Linked DNA regions of Rhinolophus ferrumequinum. The protein of the gene in region 1 interacts with the protein of each later gene in a pairwise test. Links are inferred from orthologs where the notes say so. Each region holds a gene or a part of one and is shown in the gene's direction. Other genes may lie near its edges.

What was found.
Region 2: the proteins of MPPED2 (region 1) and CAGE1 interact in binary tests that used the Homo sapiens proteins (3 or more experiments, as listed by UniProt). The two-hybrid records come from large-scale screens. The link is inferred for Rhinolophus ferrumequinum from reciprocal best matches to the Homo sapiens genes MPPED2 and CAGE1.

The regions. Positions count from the first base shown.
Region 1 is NC_046294.1:26,508,744-26,516,179, forward strand, and holds the start of MPPED2 (metallophosphoesterase MPPED2), read left to right. Parts: upstream 1-4,210; 5' UTR 4,211-4,349; intron 4,350-4,579; exon of another isoform or gene 4,580-5,060; intron 5,061-5,777; exon of another isoform or gene 5,778-5,918; intron 5,919-6,414; exon of another isoform or gene 6,415-6,631; intron 6,632-6,848; exon of another isoform or gene 6,849-6,966; intron 6,967-7,436. UniProt on the Homo sapiens protein: Displays low metallophosphoesterase activity (in vitro). May play a role in the development of the nervous system.
Region 2 is NC_046292.1:86,548,803-86,557,229, forward strand, and holds the start of CAGE1 (cancer-associated gene 1 protein), read left to right. Parts: upstream 1-5,266; 5' UTR 5,267-5,405; intron 5,406-8,427. Other genes in the region: RIOK1 (serine/threonine-protein kinase RIO1), read right to left, coding at 879-1,092, 4,108-4,178.

The DNA.
Region 1 (7,436 bases):
GGAAGTTTTTGCTTGATCTCAGAGGAGAAAAAGTCTCTCTGTTGTGTGTTTTCTTTGCACCACGGGCCCCTCCTTTTCATAAATATAACTTTTATTTCTTTGTGTGATTATTTAAAGTCAGTCTCTCCCAAGGTTCATGAGATTACAAACTTCATAATGTGAAGGACAACTCTGCTTTTTTCATCATTATACCATCAGTATGGTTTAAGTACTCTGCCTGGCACAGAGCAGAGCTTAAAAAAATATTTGTTGAATAATAGAACCATCACATTAAATAATATAGAGAAAATTGGGTTTTAGGTTCTGCTGGTCTCTCAAACTCATTTTATTTATATATTTTTTAGAAAATGTATTCATTCATTTATTTTTGCTGAAAAGGAAAATTACATTATATACTGCTTACTCAAAATATTGATATATCTTATACTAACTTGTCAAATTGAATTATTAAATTTGAAAACTCCCACAACATTTTTTTAAATCAGGTTATTATGGGTTTTCCACACTTCCCATATTTCAAAAGAGATTACTTTGGCTTTTACGACAATGAGCATGTTCTTCCACCATGACAAGTCTATCCCAAGTACCACTAAATTCTATCACTTTTCCAGAGTTGGAACCATGATATGGAGAAAAACTCAGCCTATATTAATTTATAACACAGATCATGCGAGTCTGTTAGGATGGAAAACACACTAACATATGCTTAGCATCTCATTCAGATTTTAAAAATTATTAAAATTATTATTACATAAATAATACTTGTCTGATTTTTTTGATATGTACTAGATATTGGTTAGTAAGTATGGTAAGAAATAGTGAATTTTGCATAATTTTGATATTTTCACTCTGTAGTTTTTAAGTTGCTGGCAAAGCTGGATCAAATTTAGTCTTTCTAAGATGATACCTATATAATTTATTTTATGAAATAAAATTTATCAGTTCTAGTGCTTCCTGAATCTTCTTTAGCCATAAACATTTTTATTTAACCAACAGGAAATTTTAAATACAAAGGGCTAAAAACGTGATTTATATATTTATTTTGAGGACTTCAAAAAAGATCATGTTAATCATACAGTTTTGTTTTTTTTTTTAAGTCTATATCTTGGTACATTTTTCCTGTAAATTTTAAGATATAAATTTTACTCTGGATTTTTTTTTTTTATCATCCTACTGCATTTTAAAAAAAAGGTGACTTTAAATGGATGTGATACATAACAATCTTCAGTTTCTCAATGAGAAAATCAACTTCGGAAACAGTCTTATGTATTTTTTCATATTTCTAAAGGCATTAGCAAACCCTGCTAAATGTGCTATTTGAACTCCATGGAAAGTCTTTAGTCTTACCCTCTGACACTGGCCTCATGACATCACTTCTGTTCCTGTATATCTAGTATGGATTTTCCTTCATTGTGTAGTTGCCTCATTCACTCATGCATTCTCTTACTCACTTCCTCACTTATTGACTCATACAATTGTTTAACAAGTATTTCCAAGTTTCTACTATGTGCATAGCACATAAGAATGAAGGACACAAAGGAATATAGGGTATAGTTCTTAAACTTGAAAGAGGTACAATGAAAACATTTTAAACAAATCAAAAAATTAAAAACTGTAGGAATTTAGAATAAAGGTGCTTGTTGGCTCAGATTATTTCCTAATAGCGTCATAATAATAGTTCCATTAAAAGGCTCTGATTTTTCATAATATATATCTTAGCCTTTTCTGGAAAATGATAAAAATGCAGACAATTTAAAGAAAAACAATAGGTAAAATAGCTGCTGTTTGTTCCTAGCTGTCTCTAAATTAGATTGGGATATATAATTTCATTTCACTGAAATTACTTAGTGAAATGTAATAGTTTCAATGACTTTGTTTTTTTAAGAACCACAAGATTGAATCAAATTTTAAGTTATACACAAAGTATCCCTGAATTACTGAAAAACCTGTTACAGGGAGAATAAAAGCCAAGTCCAAATAAAGTATTAATCTTTCAAAGGACACAACATTCACTTTCCAAGCTTCCACGTAAAGTTCTCTCATGTTCCTCTCTCATTTTCTTCCCAAAACGCATTCTGAAAAGATATTTTTAAAAGATTGCAGCAGGCTATCAGGAATCATATTTGCCAGGTCCTTCTATGAAATCACTGGAGAAAGGGTCCAGATTTACATTCCATTAAAGAAAAAAAAATTTGTAGTATTTACATAGAGGCAATCATAAACTTAACATTTGGTTTTTATCCTTCTTCTGCTTTCCATTATAAGCAATAAAAATTGAATTTAACAACAATAACAAAAAATGGAGCTCACAGGCTCACTTATCTTTAAAAAAATAAAAAGTCCCAGCGTATAACATTTAAAATTTGATATAATGAGGCTCAATGTTTCAAAGCTGATGTCAGGGGACAGACATGGTTCACATCCAATCATTTTAAAACAAGCTTTTAGTGTAGGTAGCTATATTGGTAGAGAATATGATTTAATAAAATGCAATATGTTCAAATCCATGTAATGAGAATTATTTGAAAAGTGAATTCCTTTTGTTTCTGATTTACCATTTAAATTCACTTATATTTCTCCAGCTTCTTTCTTTTGGTAACCTAATGGAAATAGAATTTCAGAACCCTCATACAGCTTGGTCACTGCCACTGTCAGTGTATAATTGATCAGTAGGGACCCTGTAGAGGCTGAGTTACTTCTTCCTTCAGTACAAGTTACAATTTTAAGCTTTTTTGTGCCTCAATTTTTCCCCAGTGAGCAAAATGATATACAAATTTTCGTCAACTTTGTAAAGGATCACTTGCTTGATTTTTTATAGCATTATATATCCTGCAAAATGTGCCACGTTATTATTTACTGTCTGTGCACATAGATTTAGGATCATGTACAAACTAGTATGAATGTATTGATTGACTGCCTGTTACTTTTTAGAACAGAAGTTAGAAAACCACAGAAGTTATTTGACCGGTGCAGAATTTTGTTTGTTTGTTTTTGAAGGGTGGCGGGGAGAGGAGGACTGATTAAATCATCCCAAATCAGTCTAAAAACTCAACCCATTTAGATTAAGAGAAGTATGCTGCTAACTAATTCATAGAAAAAGGGGAACAAAACCAAACATTTCTTCAAAAACATGATTCTAGTCAGTGTTTGCTGCTGGGCTGGAAAACAAAATAAAAAGATATTCCCACCCCATCTTTGGCATTCTTTAATGTCAATGCCACTTGCTGTGATTTGTGCTGGGCAAGGGTAGTCACCGTCCCTTGATCCCAATCCATTTAACAAGTACCGACACTCTGGGCATACTGTACAACAAAATAAATACATTAGCAAAACCATTTCCCCCTTCATTTCAGCCCAGGCATAAGAGATAGGTTACTTAAAATTCAAGTGCCAGGAAAGCCTATTGTAAAAGGGAAATATTTTCAAGTGAATTCCGTTTGATCTTTTTTTTTTTATAGGGGCTCCTACCAGCCTCTCTCCCTTCCTCCTCAGACCCTGGAAACCAATTAGTCTCAGCACGGAGGCCACAGATCAAGTTGAAATGGCTCCTTTTTATTTTTAGGAGATATAATTTCAGCCAGGATGTCTAGTCAGTTGTCACATAGTATACTTAGCACACTTCTCACTCACAAACACATCCATTGGATTTTCCTTTGGAGAATGCCTAGATCTTTGAGTCTGACTCCTGGAAAGGAATTAGATCTGGTTGCCGTCCAAATCCTTCAGTTCTGACAATGGCATAACATCACAGGGCCACCTCATCTTTCACAGGAAGCCTTGCCAACCAAGTTTTCTAAAAGCCTTCTCTTCCTAGTCTTCTGTCCTCTAGCATTTCAGTGTAGTTCCCTTTGCGTATGTCGTTTGCATACAATTCTGAAAACCTTTCCCCCCCCCCATTATCCAAAGTAGCAGAGAAAAGGGAACTAACTTTGATTTCTAAAACGTTTTTGAAGGGCTTATCTTTTGGGGAAATGTGCCCCAAAGACAAAATGAAAACAGTTAGAGTCTGCCTCTCCTCACCTCCCTATCCTAAACCTGCCGTACATAATTCATGGAGGTGAAAGAAATTATCAGCTGGGTTGGCCTTTTCTTTCTCAGGAACAACATTACAGAAAGAAAAGGGTGTGTGTGTGTGTGTGTGTGTGTGTGTGTGTGTGTGTATCTGGTGAGTTGAAAGGCTTAAGAAAAGGGAGCAGAGCTCTCCCCCAGGAAAGCCTAAGCTCAGCAGATGGGAGGGAACCCAGGGTCGCCTTTTTTGGTCTGAGCTGAGTGCCCCAGCCCCTTGCCCTGCTCCAGCCACGAGCTTTGCGCCCTGGAGCTGTGCCAGGACTTCATACAGCGCCTGACAGGTCGGTGGGTTGGGGTAAGGGGGTGGTTGGGGGGGCTGGGTATTCTCTTTTTCAGAAGACGCCCATTTGGAGGGAAAACTCCCTTTATTGTCCTGGGGCTCCGTAGCACCCCCTCCCCGGTCCCCTATCATTTTTACGCTGATCACACTCATGATGATGAACTTGCAGCTCAGCTTCCTGCCGCCTGCTTGACCCGGGAGCACCAGCAGGCTGCCGGCCTCGCCCTCAGTTCCCTCCTCCTCTTGCAACCCAGGGGCCTCGGGGCGCCGGCGGGGGTTCGAGTGGGCCGGGGCTGCAGGAGCAACGCGCCGGGGCGCGGGGTCCTGCTGGGGAGCGCGCAAGGAGCGGCGCTTCGGCCGCCTGGCTTCCTGGAGCTGTGCTCCTTTGACCCCAGTGGCGGTCCCTGTCACTGCACCGCTCACGCTCCCTCCGGCTCGCCGCGCCCTCGCTCCCTCTCCTCGCCCCCTCGCTCGCTCTCTCCACAGATCGAGGTTGCTCTCGTCTTTTCTCCCCCCCGCCTCCTTCTCACGCCGCGCCCCCGGCCCCCCGCCCCAGCCCGCCGCGGGACCTCCGAGGTCGAAGGTTCTGGCCCACCCGCGCCCCTCGCCAGCCCCGCGCGCCCCCGGCGCGCCTCCCGCCGGCTCCGCGATGGATCGCCTGCTTGCCGGGCGCTGAAGGCATCCCCGGGACCCGGAGCGCAGCCCGGGAAAGGTAATCCGCCCCGGGAAAGGAGGCGGAGGGCGGGGGAGGGGGAGGAGGAGGCCGGGCGCCCGGTGCCGAGCGCGAGAGGAAGGGAAAAAAATGCACACACACAAAGCGGAGCCCGGGTGAGAGGTGCCTTGTCACAGGCGCGTGCGGGGGGCTCCCTGGCTGCGGACCGCGGCTGCCCCGATGTCCCTGACATTCGCACGAGCGGGCACTTCCCCAACAATTCGGAACCCGAGGAGGGCTTATTTTCTACCCCCCGAGCGAAAGCTAATTCTTTTTTAGGTGCTATCTCCCTCCCACTCCCCATCTTGCCCTTCTGCTCTTCTCCCCTCCCCCCAGTCCTCGGCCCCCGACCTCTCGGGGTCTCCACATCCCCGCCCCCTCCTCCGCCGGGATTTCTTAGGAGCGGAGGAGAGGGTGTCGGCGAGGGGCAGCGGCAAAAGCCAAGTGGCGGGAATGGGGGTTGGGACGAGGGCACGGCGAGCTGTTTACTAGAAAGTCCCGGGGTTATGTGTTCGAGCCGCCCCGGCCTAGGCCCGGGTGCATTGTGTTGGCCCGAGCCCCAGGCGCCCGCGGCGGCCGGAGAGAGGTGCGGTGGCCGGGAAGGCGCCGCGCAGCTTTGTGCTGGGGCTGCGCTCCACGGCCGCCCCCGGGGCCGCCCGCGCTCGCGCGCGGCTCTCGCGCCGGGCTTTTCTGACCCTGTCCCCGCGCCCAGACCTCGCTCTCTCCTGCGGTCTCGGGTCTTCACGATCGTAGCCTACGGAGCGAGCTAGAGACTCCGGCTGGGCGGCGGGGATACGAGCAGCGAGAAAAAGTAACCCTTGCGGCCGATTTCTTCTGGAGAGAAGCAGGAGTTCTTTGGTATTTACATGTAACAGGGTTATCTTTGTGAAGCCTTTGAATTCCAGGGTTTTGCGGCCTAGGAGGTGAAGGGGGCATTTTCCCCCCTGGAGATTGGGGAGGAGGGTAGAATCTAACAGCAAGAAAAGAAATTAAGGATGCCCTATTGGGGGTAGATTTAGAGCACATTTACCTCCCCTTCAACAAATCCCAAATTAAGTGCAAATGCAGGTCATGAAAAATGTGTACTTGATTTGAGATGCTGCAAACAAACACAAACAGGTCAGGGTGGAAAACACAAACAAAACTTTAAGTGAAAGAAAAGATTTCCAAGGGGGGTGGGATCCGTGGCCTCCACACCCCCTTTCAACCCTCGCTGGCTCCCTCCCTTCCTTTCTCTGCCGTTCCAGGGAAGCAGCCCGGCTGCTCCCGGGCGGAGAGCCGGGAGGCGACCGCGGCGGCTCCGGGCGCGGGCTCCGCTCTGAGGGTTCGGAGATGCCAACGCGCCCGGGAGGCTGACGTCGGGGGCGTGGGGCTACGATGCCTCTGCGAGGATGGCGCGGTGTCAGAGCTATTGGCCGCCGTTGGTCATCAATCAATCCGGGGCTGGGGGAGAGGGAGAGAAAGAAAGACAGGCGCCCAGCGGAGCCCGGGGCCGTGAGCGTCAGCCCCAGCAGTGCCAGCAGCGGCGGCGGCAGCGGCGGCGACGGCAGTGGCAACCGGGGACTGAGCGAGTAAGGCGAGCTGGTGGTGCTCTAGGAAGGAAGGGGGAGCTGTAGCCGGGACCAGACGGCCGTGAGCCGGGAGGGCAGGGCGAGCGCGCGCGCGCGCGCGCTCGTGTGTGTGTGTGTGTGTGTGTGTGTGTGTGTGTGTGTGTGTAGTTGGCGAAGCCCACCCCCCACACCCGATTTAAAACAAACACACCAATCCAAAGTAGAGAATTCCGCGCCCCCCGCCCCACCATATATAGACTCTACGGATAGCCCGAGGCGCGGGAGGAAAGTGCTGCCCTTCCTCTCCGAAAGAATGTGCCAGCCGGGTGTCCGCAGTGCTGGAGACAAGTTCAGGTGTAAGTGCGGCGGGAGGGAGGGCGCTGTATGGACAGAGGCACGTGGAACTTTGTACATCCCTCCAAAATCCCTGGCAGAGAAGCTGCCGGGAAGGCTTGTAAGCATCGCTCCGGGATGCAGGGATGTGTAACTGGAGGTGGACATAAAAGAGTAGGGGCGGGAGCTGACAAATCACTCGATCTGTGCGGCAGAGGGAGGGGAGCGACATTTGGCGAAGTTGGAACCCGCGAGTTCTAAAGTCTGGACAGGCGGTCTGGCGATCTTCTTAGGGCAAGTGAATAAAATGAGCATCCTTGTTTAAACGAGGAAATCACGGGCCCCTTTCTCATAGGCTATGCCGTGCGGTGCTCCGGTAGAGAGGTCATGAGTTGTTGCTTTGAAACTTTTGGTAAATTGGACTTCTGGCGTTTAGGAGGTGGAGACAGTTATTTAATTCCCCGGCTTTTAATCCTTTCATTGCCAACAAACT
Region 2 (8,427 bases), on another chromosome or scaffold:
GAATCAATGGAGGAGTTACCAAAATAAGATCACAAGTGTGAAATTTCTTTGGTTATTTTAAAAACGCATGCACTCTAGTCCACAATATAGCTGTTTTAATTTTCAAAGAAACATTTATGATTTTCTTCCCCCTCCCTATCCTTTCAACAACATTTATGCTCCAGTAAGATGCACCACGTTAATCCTATGGCTCTGGAACACTTGGTATTTCAGTGCGAGCAGGCTCTACATGGCTTGTTACCTTGTGCTTAGCACGTGGTCCAAGATGGTAGATCATGAACATATCTCCATGTCATGAATATAGTCTTCCACTGTAACCCATTTTATGGCTGCATAATATCCCATTATACAAACCAACCCCATGGTAAATTTAGTCAACGTTGTTTCCAACATTTCTCTACTAGAAACAATACTGGAGGATCATTCTTGTAACTAAGTCTTGGTACACTCCTAAAAGACTTGCTGAGTCAAAGTGTTTATTTTGTAAGCTTTTAAAGCTTTTATCACATACCAGTTTATCCTCCAAATAACTGTATGTATTTAGTGAACCATCAGTTATATATTTTGTGTCTATGTTAGTTTCAGAGGCGGAAAAAATGGCATCCATCTCTACATAGTTAATCTGCATTTCTTTAATTACTAATAAACTTGAACTTTTTCTCTATGTTTCTTAACCATTTGTAGAAAACTGCCTGTTTGTGTCTTTTCATATGCAGATTTTTAAGTGCATTATCTTATGACAATTTAAGTAACTTTTAAAATTTACTTATAACCTGAAGAAAATCTTTGTTACTCAATTCCAGAACTACAAAAAGTCCCTTTATACAAGAAGACATAAGCAAACAACATAAAGATGTACAGAATCATTTATAAAATACCTGTGGGTTACTCCTTCCAATCGACATACAACCCTTGGTGAGTTTTCCAACTCCATCATCCCAGTCCCAACCATCATCATCATCATAATCTTCTTCCTCCTCCTCCTCCTCCTCCTCCTCTTCTATCTCACCTTCACCCATCTTCTCATTATTTTGAAGATCTTCAAACAGAACACCATCTTCCTCTTTGATTGTCTTCAAGTCAATGTTTTCACTAGAAATAACAATGTTTTAGTGTGTTTATACATACTCTAATTGGACTTACGTATGAATTTATTTATGACATAATAGCTTAATCTATGCCAATAAATCTAAACGTTTCCCTTTCAACATATCTCCCAATAAACTCCATCATAACACCAAGTTCTCCTGTTTTTCAGAGTTGTTCCACTTGTTGTTTGCTTATTCTCCAGGTCCTGTTAAAGAGGTGTATCAGGTTAAATCCACCTCTGCATTCATGAAGTCAGAATTTATATTGTTACTGTCTCTGCTGAATGCACTGAACTCTGATCAGTACGCCAGACCTGACTCTACGAAAACCATTCAGAGCTGTGTTAAGAGGGGGAAAAAAATTTTCTGACAAAACTTGGGAATAAGTCTAAAGCAGCCTTACCTTGAACTCAACACCACTTTACAACAAAAGGAGCTCTATTATAGATTTGTGTTACACAAGGAATGGTGACTATAAGCACCACGAATGAGAGAAGTAGGCTGGGTATAATTAAACAGAAGTGGGGATTGTCAAACCTAGAGACAAGCCCCAAGTAGAGAGAGCACGATAGGGTCTGTTTTTGCCATATGAGAATTCAGACCCAGTGTTACCATATCTTCTTAGTTTTTCAAGAGCCAGAAATCTGGATTTTTGTGTGAAATCTCCCCGTTAACTGGCATATTCAATTTTAACAAAATACTGTGCATGCCAAACGAAATATGTGTGCAGGTCAGATTCAACAGAGGTACTACTAGTTTTGACCTCTCATATGGAGAACAAGGTCAGAAACCATATAAAACAATTGATAATATGCACTACCAGCTTAAAAAGTCAGATGTGAGTCTAAGTAAATTCAGATGATCAATCCTGAATTTTTTTTTTAAGTGTGTTTTTCCAGGACCCATCAGTTCCAAGTCAAGTAGTTGTTTCAATCTAGTTGTGGAGGGCGCAGCTTACAAAGGCCCATGTAGGGATGGAACCCGCAACCTTGTTGTTAAGAGCACCGCGTTCTAACCAACTGAGCTAACCGGCGCCCCAATCCTGACTTATTAATTAGCCATGGCTTACAGGACTCCAAATCTCCATGGACATGGGTGGGAAGAGAACAAACATTAGGCAGCTGCTATTTACTAGGATTTTATAAACATAATCCATAAATTGATCATTCATTTGCCAATAACCTAGAGTGGCATGTTAAAGTTATGCCTTCAATTGTACTAGGGCTTCTCAACCTCGGTGGACAATTCTTTGTTGTGGGAGGTTGTCTTGTACCTTATAGGATTTTTAGCAGCATCTCTAGCCTCCACCTACCAGATGCCACTAGTGTATTACCATCCCCAGTTGTGACAAACAAAAATGTCTCCAGAAATTGCCCAAAGTCCCAAGGCCGGGGTGGGGGTGGGGGGCGAGGGCGGAGGCAACATCTATTGGATTACCTTTATAATATCCAGTGATGGATAATAAACCAGTGTACACTCATTACCATTAACTATGCACCAGTCACATAGGCTGTTTCTTTTTTCCCTTAACTTCTTCCCTAAGGTCTTTTGCATACTCAGCTGTAAACATAAATCTGGAATGCCCTTCTCATTTCTCTGACTAAATCCTACTTATCCTTCCAGTATTAGCTTACTATCACTTGCTCAGGGAAGTCTACCCTATTCTTCACCCACTTCTCCTTTGTACTACTTTCTAATACAAATCATTTGTCTAATTATTTAATATGTTTCCCCTGCTAGAGCGAATCTCTGTGTCAGAGTGGTTTACTAACATATCCCTACCAACTAACACTATATCTGACACATCGAAAGCCATCAACATATATTTACTAAAAATCTCCAATTGCTTAATAAAATGGCCATGTAATGAAACCTTAATGTAAACATAAAGTAAAAACCGTATTTTTTTTGGGGGGGGGGAATTCCAAAATAATTCTGGTTCATTCTGCTTTCAAGTAAAAGTTATCCTTAATTCCTTTTGTTTCATACCTCACATGCAATCTACCACCAAACTGTCACTTCTACCTCCAAAACATATCCCTATGGTCCTATCTCTAACTCTCACCATCTTTGAACTGAATTACTTCATTACTTTTGAACGGCTTCCACTCTTGCCCTCCAAAACCATCCTCTCCATAGCAGAGTAATTCCTTTAAATCGTAAATCAGATGTCATTTCCCTGCTAAAATCCTTCCTATGGCTTTCTATAAGACCTAGAATAATATCTCAGTTCCTTACCATCATTTGTAAGGCTCTATACGATCTGGCCCCTTCTCACTTATATATTGTTTACCCACTAATCTTCTCAAGTACCTCTGCAGTGCTCTAGGCACAATTACCTCTAAATCTTCCTTTTACAGCCAAGAGGGATCTCACTGCTGGGACTTTGCAAGTGCTGTCCCCTCTTCCTGAATGGCTCTTCTCTCTGCTCTTCCCTAGGTTAGCCCATTATTCTTGTTCAGTTCTGGACTTAACCCCTTCCTGACCAAATCATAACTTGGCCTATCAACTGATTTTAATTATCTGCACAGTATATATTATTATCTGGTTTTTGTTTTTTAAATACCGCTATGTACTCAATTGCCTACCCACCCTCCCAAGTAGAAAGTAAAATTCAATGACAGTAGGGACTTAGTTTGTCTTGTTCATCACTAGCTCCAGCGCCGAGGGCAGAACCTGGCACACATTAGGTGCTCACATATTTTTTGAACACTGAATGTAATTAAAGCTCAAAAACCTGTTTCCCAATCGCTATCCCCATCTCTGCCTCTCAGCGATGCTAACCAACCAACCTGGGAGCCCTGGACTACCTTGACAAGTGGCTGTCATTGATTGCCGTAAACTGGGACGACAGTCACTGCTGGGATGGACGAAGACGCAAAACGCTGTAAAAAGAGGCCCCGAGTGATGAATTACCAGTCTCCCCCTAAACCACAAACAAGTGTTAACTCCCCGACGGAGCGGTGGCGGAAGAGAGAGCAAAATCCCAACAAAGTCGGTGTACTCCACCGCCGTCTACCTGTCGGAGGAATCCGCGTCGTCGAACTGCCCGGGCACTACCCGACTCATCAGCAGCCGCCGGTAGTCCATGACCGAGAGCGCAGTTTCAGCGCCACCGAAGGCCGCCCGCCCGCCCAGCGATGGGTCAGGAACCGCACAGAGACGGTTCTATGTGCGGCCGACCCAACAGCCTCTCCGCAGATGGCCGCCTCGCAAACCACTCAGAAGCCCTCACACCAAAAGTGAGCGCCACGTGCTTTGAGGAATTAGGATCCACAGCCTTTGCACTGTGGCCTGCGCTCAACCGGAGGCCCCGCCCCTACCGGAAAGCTTGGCCTACCGGAAGTCCCGCCCCGGTGCCGGGTTGAGAGCTTGGAGCTTGCGCGGAAGTGTACGTGACAGCGATACATCGAAATGTTAGGCGGCCTTGAGATGCTGTTCTCGCTGAGCCAGCGCCGGCCGTTCCATCTGGAGTTTTAGTTCCTGCACCTCGCTTTGTGTTTCCTGCCGCAGAAGGACGCGCCAGCCAGCCCACAGATTGTTTGGCCTGGGGGCTCACACCCACAGAATTTCCCAAATCTGGCAGAGAGACTTCGAAGCCCCTAGGCCGCGCCCGCGGGGAGCGCGGGAGCCCCGCAGGCTTCCCCGCCGACATTGGCTGGCGCGGGCGGGCGGACGTCACACTGGGACGTTCCAGCGCGCCTGCATCCCAGCTGCGAGTTTTTAAGAGCCATCCGTGGAAAAGGTTGAAAAGTGTTCTCCCTCCCACAAAACCTATTGCGCGGGGAGGAAGCACGAAATCCTTATTGTGGATCCACGAAACTGCATGGACCCTGGAAGTGAGCACGCTTTTGCGACTTAAAGAGTTTGGTGCATTGTTTTGAGATGAAAATGAGTTAAGTGCTTTTAGAATATTGAAGTTTGTCATACAACTGAAAAGAATTTAAAAACAAAACCTTGGAGTTTTGGCCAGTAACTCCAGGGACACCTCTTTTAACACCCATCTTAAAACAGCTTTAGAGTGTCTCTGGAATATCTCTCGAAACATTTCAATAAATATTTTAAAAATCTAATATAAATCTCGTAAGGGCAGAATGAAAGATGGCAACAGTAAGCCTAACTTAAAAAAATATACAACTGGCAGATGGGGCCGTGTGAACAAAGTTGTAAAAGTGTAGTTGGAAGTTCTGGGTTCACAGGCAAATTTAAGAAATAAGGCCCTTGCGTTTTTTGCATTTGGAAAAGGCAAAACAAGGATTTTTCAGATCCCCATCACCACAACACAGACAGCATTTATGTGTTTGGAAAACGGAGAAGGTAAGCATAAAGTTGGGCCAATCTCCAATCCTGAATAGCCTGCTTAGCTCAGTGGCTTTTTAATATTGAGGATGACATAAATTTGGAAAAAAAAAATTCCTCAGTAAATTATTAATTTAATAATTCAATAAAGTAATCCAGGCAAATGGGTAGTGACTAGATTGAGATGGTTTAATAGAAATAATTCATTGGAGTGCAGGATTTAGTGAATACTCTGGACAACACTGGTCTGTTTGATGTAGGGTGTATGGAAAAACCATAAGTGGACTTCTCAAAGTATGTATAATCAGTAAATACAAACACTGATACCCTTGAAACAATGGTGAAGATTAAAACAGTAAAATGAATAGGTGCTGAATTGTGAGATAGAGATTTAGACTAAAGACCTTGTAGGAACTTTTAAAAAAATAGATGATTGGGTAGGTAAAGAAGTTTTAGGAGAGAGAAGCACTTGCCAGGGCAGACTACCGAAAAGGAACACGATCTATTTGCAAAGAAGTGAGGCTGAGCAGGAGTACTGGGTAGGTAATGTGGGTTCAGGCTACGGAAGACCTAGAAAGTCAAGCAGAAGAATTTGAAGTCAGCGTGATTGGACATCCTATCCACCTCGATCCCCCTGACAGACTTGAGGGGTCACAAGAATATGGACCAGTGTGTTGACATAAGGGATGGGAAGAAAGCATGAGTTATAAAAACATTTTTAAAAGAGAAATGGACAGGAATTGGTAACTGAATAGCTCATGGATAATGAGATAGAAGGACGCCAGGTTTTGAAACCCGAGTGCCTGAGAGAATGTGGCATTAGGAGGTGAGGGAAAATTAATTTACATTGTTGGATTTAACTTGATAATGAGGTATTCTAATAGCGATTGTCAAGTAAATAGAAATACAGTGTTGATGGAACCTAATGGTAGGTATCTGGTAATATTTTGTGAATATTTTTTGATTAAGTAACTTAGAGATCCCTTCATCTCCTCAGTACCCACATCTTTTAGGTTAATTATTGGATAGTAGCCACACATATTGATTTGCTTTTGTCCGAATTAGTATTACTACCATACAAAGTTACCATGGTATATTCAGGCTAAAATTTTTTATTTTTCCAATAACTTGACAAATGACATTTTAAAATTTAGGACAGTGAACTTTGCTGCTTTCTTAATGTGAGGAAGGATGGGGGTGGGGGGGGAGTTTTCTGTTTGCATATACTAATAGACATTAAAATTATGTTTTTTAAAGAGACCTTCCATCACTCAACAGTTAGGAGCAAGGACTATCAGAAAGTTTGGTCATCACTTCAGATACAATACTGTACATTTTGAAGTGGATGCTTTTCATAAAAATTAGAAAGCATGGCAGAAGCAGATGCCATGAATTCAGAAGTCTTTCTCAAGACTTAACTCACTCAAATTCTCCCTTCTAAATGGAAGCCAGCAGTACTACTTGAGACTTGCCTCAGGTGTGCAGTACTTAAAAGTTCTGGGAGGTACAGACGTATTTAGCATTCACATTGTTTTCCATATGAAATGTCTTCAAAATTACTAGGAACAATGAAAGAATCTCTAACGGAAGCATAGAAGACGGGAACACAGGGTCTGGTTTTCCCAGTTCCACTAGTATACAAAGAAGGGTGAGAATTTTACATACAGAGAGTATTAAAACTGACCCTTCCTAGTCTCTTCGTGAAGTCCCATGAGTACAGCCAGGGGACATTGCCGCAACAACTCAGTCACAGAGTCAGGACAAGAACCCAAGGAGCCTGACATCTGGTCTAGAGCATTTTCCACTATGTCAGCATGCAAATGATTCACATGTTCATAATGACATTGACAGTGCCATGTAAATGACTTCCTGTCTGCATGAAAATTCCTAGTGCTGTTTGTCACAAAATAAAAGAGATTTTTATGTCCCAGGATCTTCATGAATGTCATTCTAAATATTTGACAATTATTAAGCAAGAGTGTAGGGAAATAATAGGAATCTATTAGGTTTGCCACATAAAATTACCTTTTTGTAGTTCAAAACCAGACAAATATTGACAATTCATGTGGTTCAGCCCATAAATTCACATAATCTTTCTAAAAGGCTGTTTAATGCTAGGAAATCCAGAGCTTAACTGCACATTTTGTTGTTAATTTTGCCCCAGGAAGTATACAAGTGAGATATTTGCAGAATAATTCACAGCTAACATTGGAAACAACCTAAATTTTCATCAGTAGGGGACTAGTTAAATTATCGTATATATGTACAGTGGATATGTAAACCTTAAATATGATAATACAGATACATATTTGTTGACCTGGAAATATGGTCACATTGCTTCTCACTAGGCAGAAGACTTTTGAGTGTTTTTCACTTTCTTTTTTAAACAATGTTCAAGATTCATTTTTATAATTATAAAAAACTTTTCATTTTGAAAAAATATTTTGGTCATAGTATTATGAGGTTAATCAGGGCCCAAGATACTATGTACTGAATTATAAAGAATGAATGTCTTAAATTATTTACGTAAGGAGGTCCTCCCTCTTGGATTTCACTGACCATTTTATTCTTTATAAAAAATTTATAGACCTAAGAAACAAAAGGCATATTTCAGTTAAACACAGTAATGTTATAGAAGACTAGAGTTAGAAGTGATCTCTGAAATTTGATGATTAGTGGAGTCAGAAGTCTGTCTAAACATCAATGCATGTGAATAGTGCTATTTTATTTTTCAAGTATATTATTCTTGATGCTTTAAAATCTAATTAGGAGAGGAATGGTCTGAATTAGCAACAAGTCTAAAAGACAGATTGCTATAAAATATAATTCAGTTCTTACTGTACTTCAGATACATTCAATAAGTGGAACAATGCTATAAAAAGCATATTGAATAGAGGTTTGTAACCAGCTGACTTTACTGAGAGATATGAACTTTTTTAGAGTATCATTTAGGTCCACATATTTGGTATACTACTCATGATTAAACCAATGTTTTCTTTAAACATCTAAAATATTTTTCTTACTGTCTTATTTATACTAT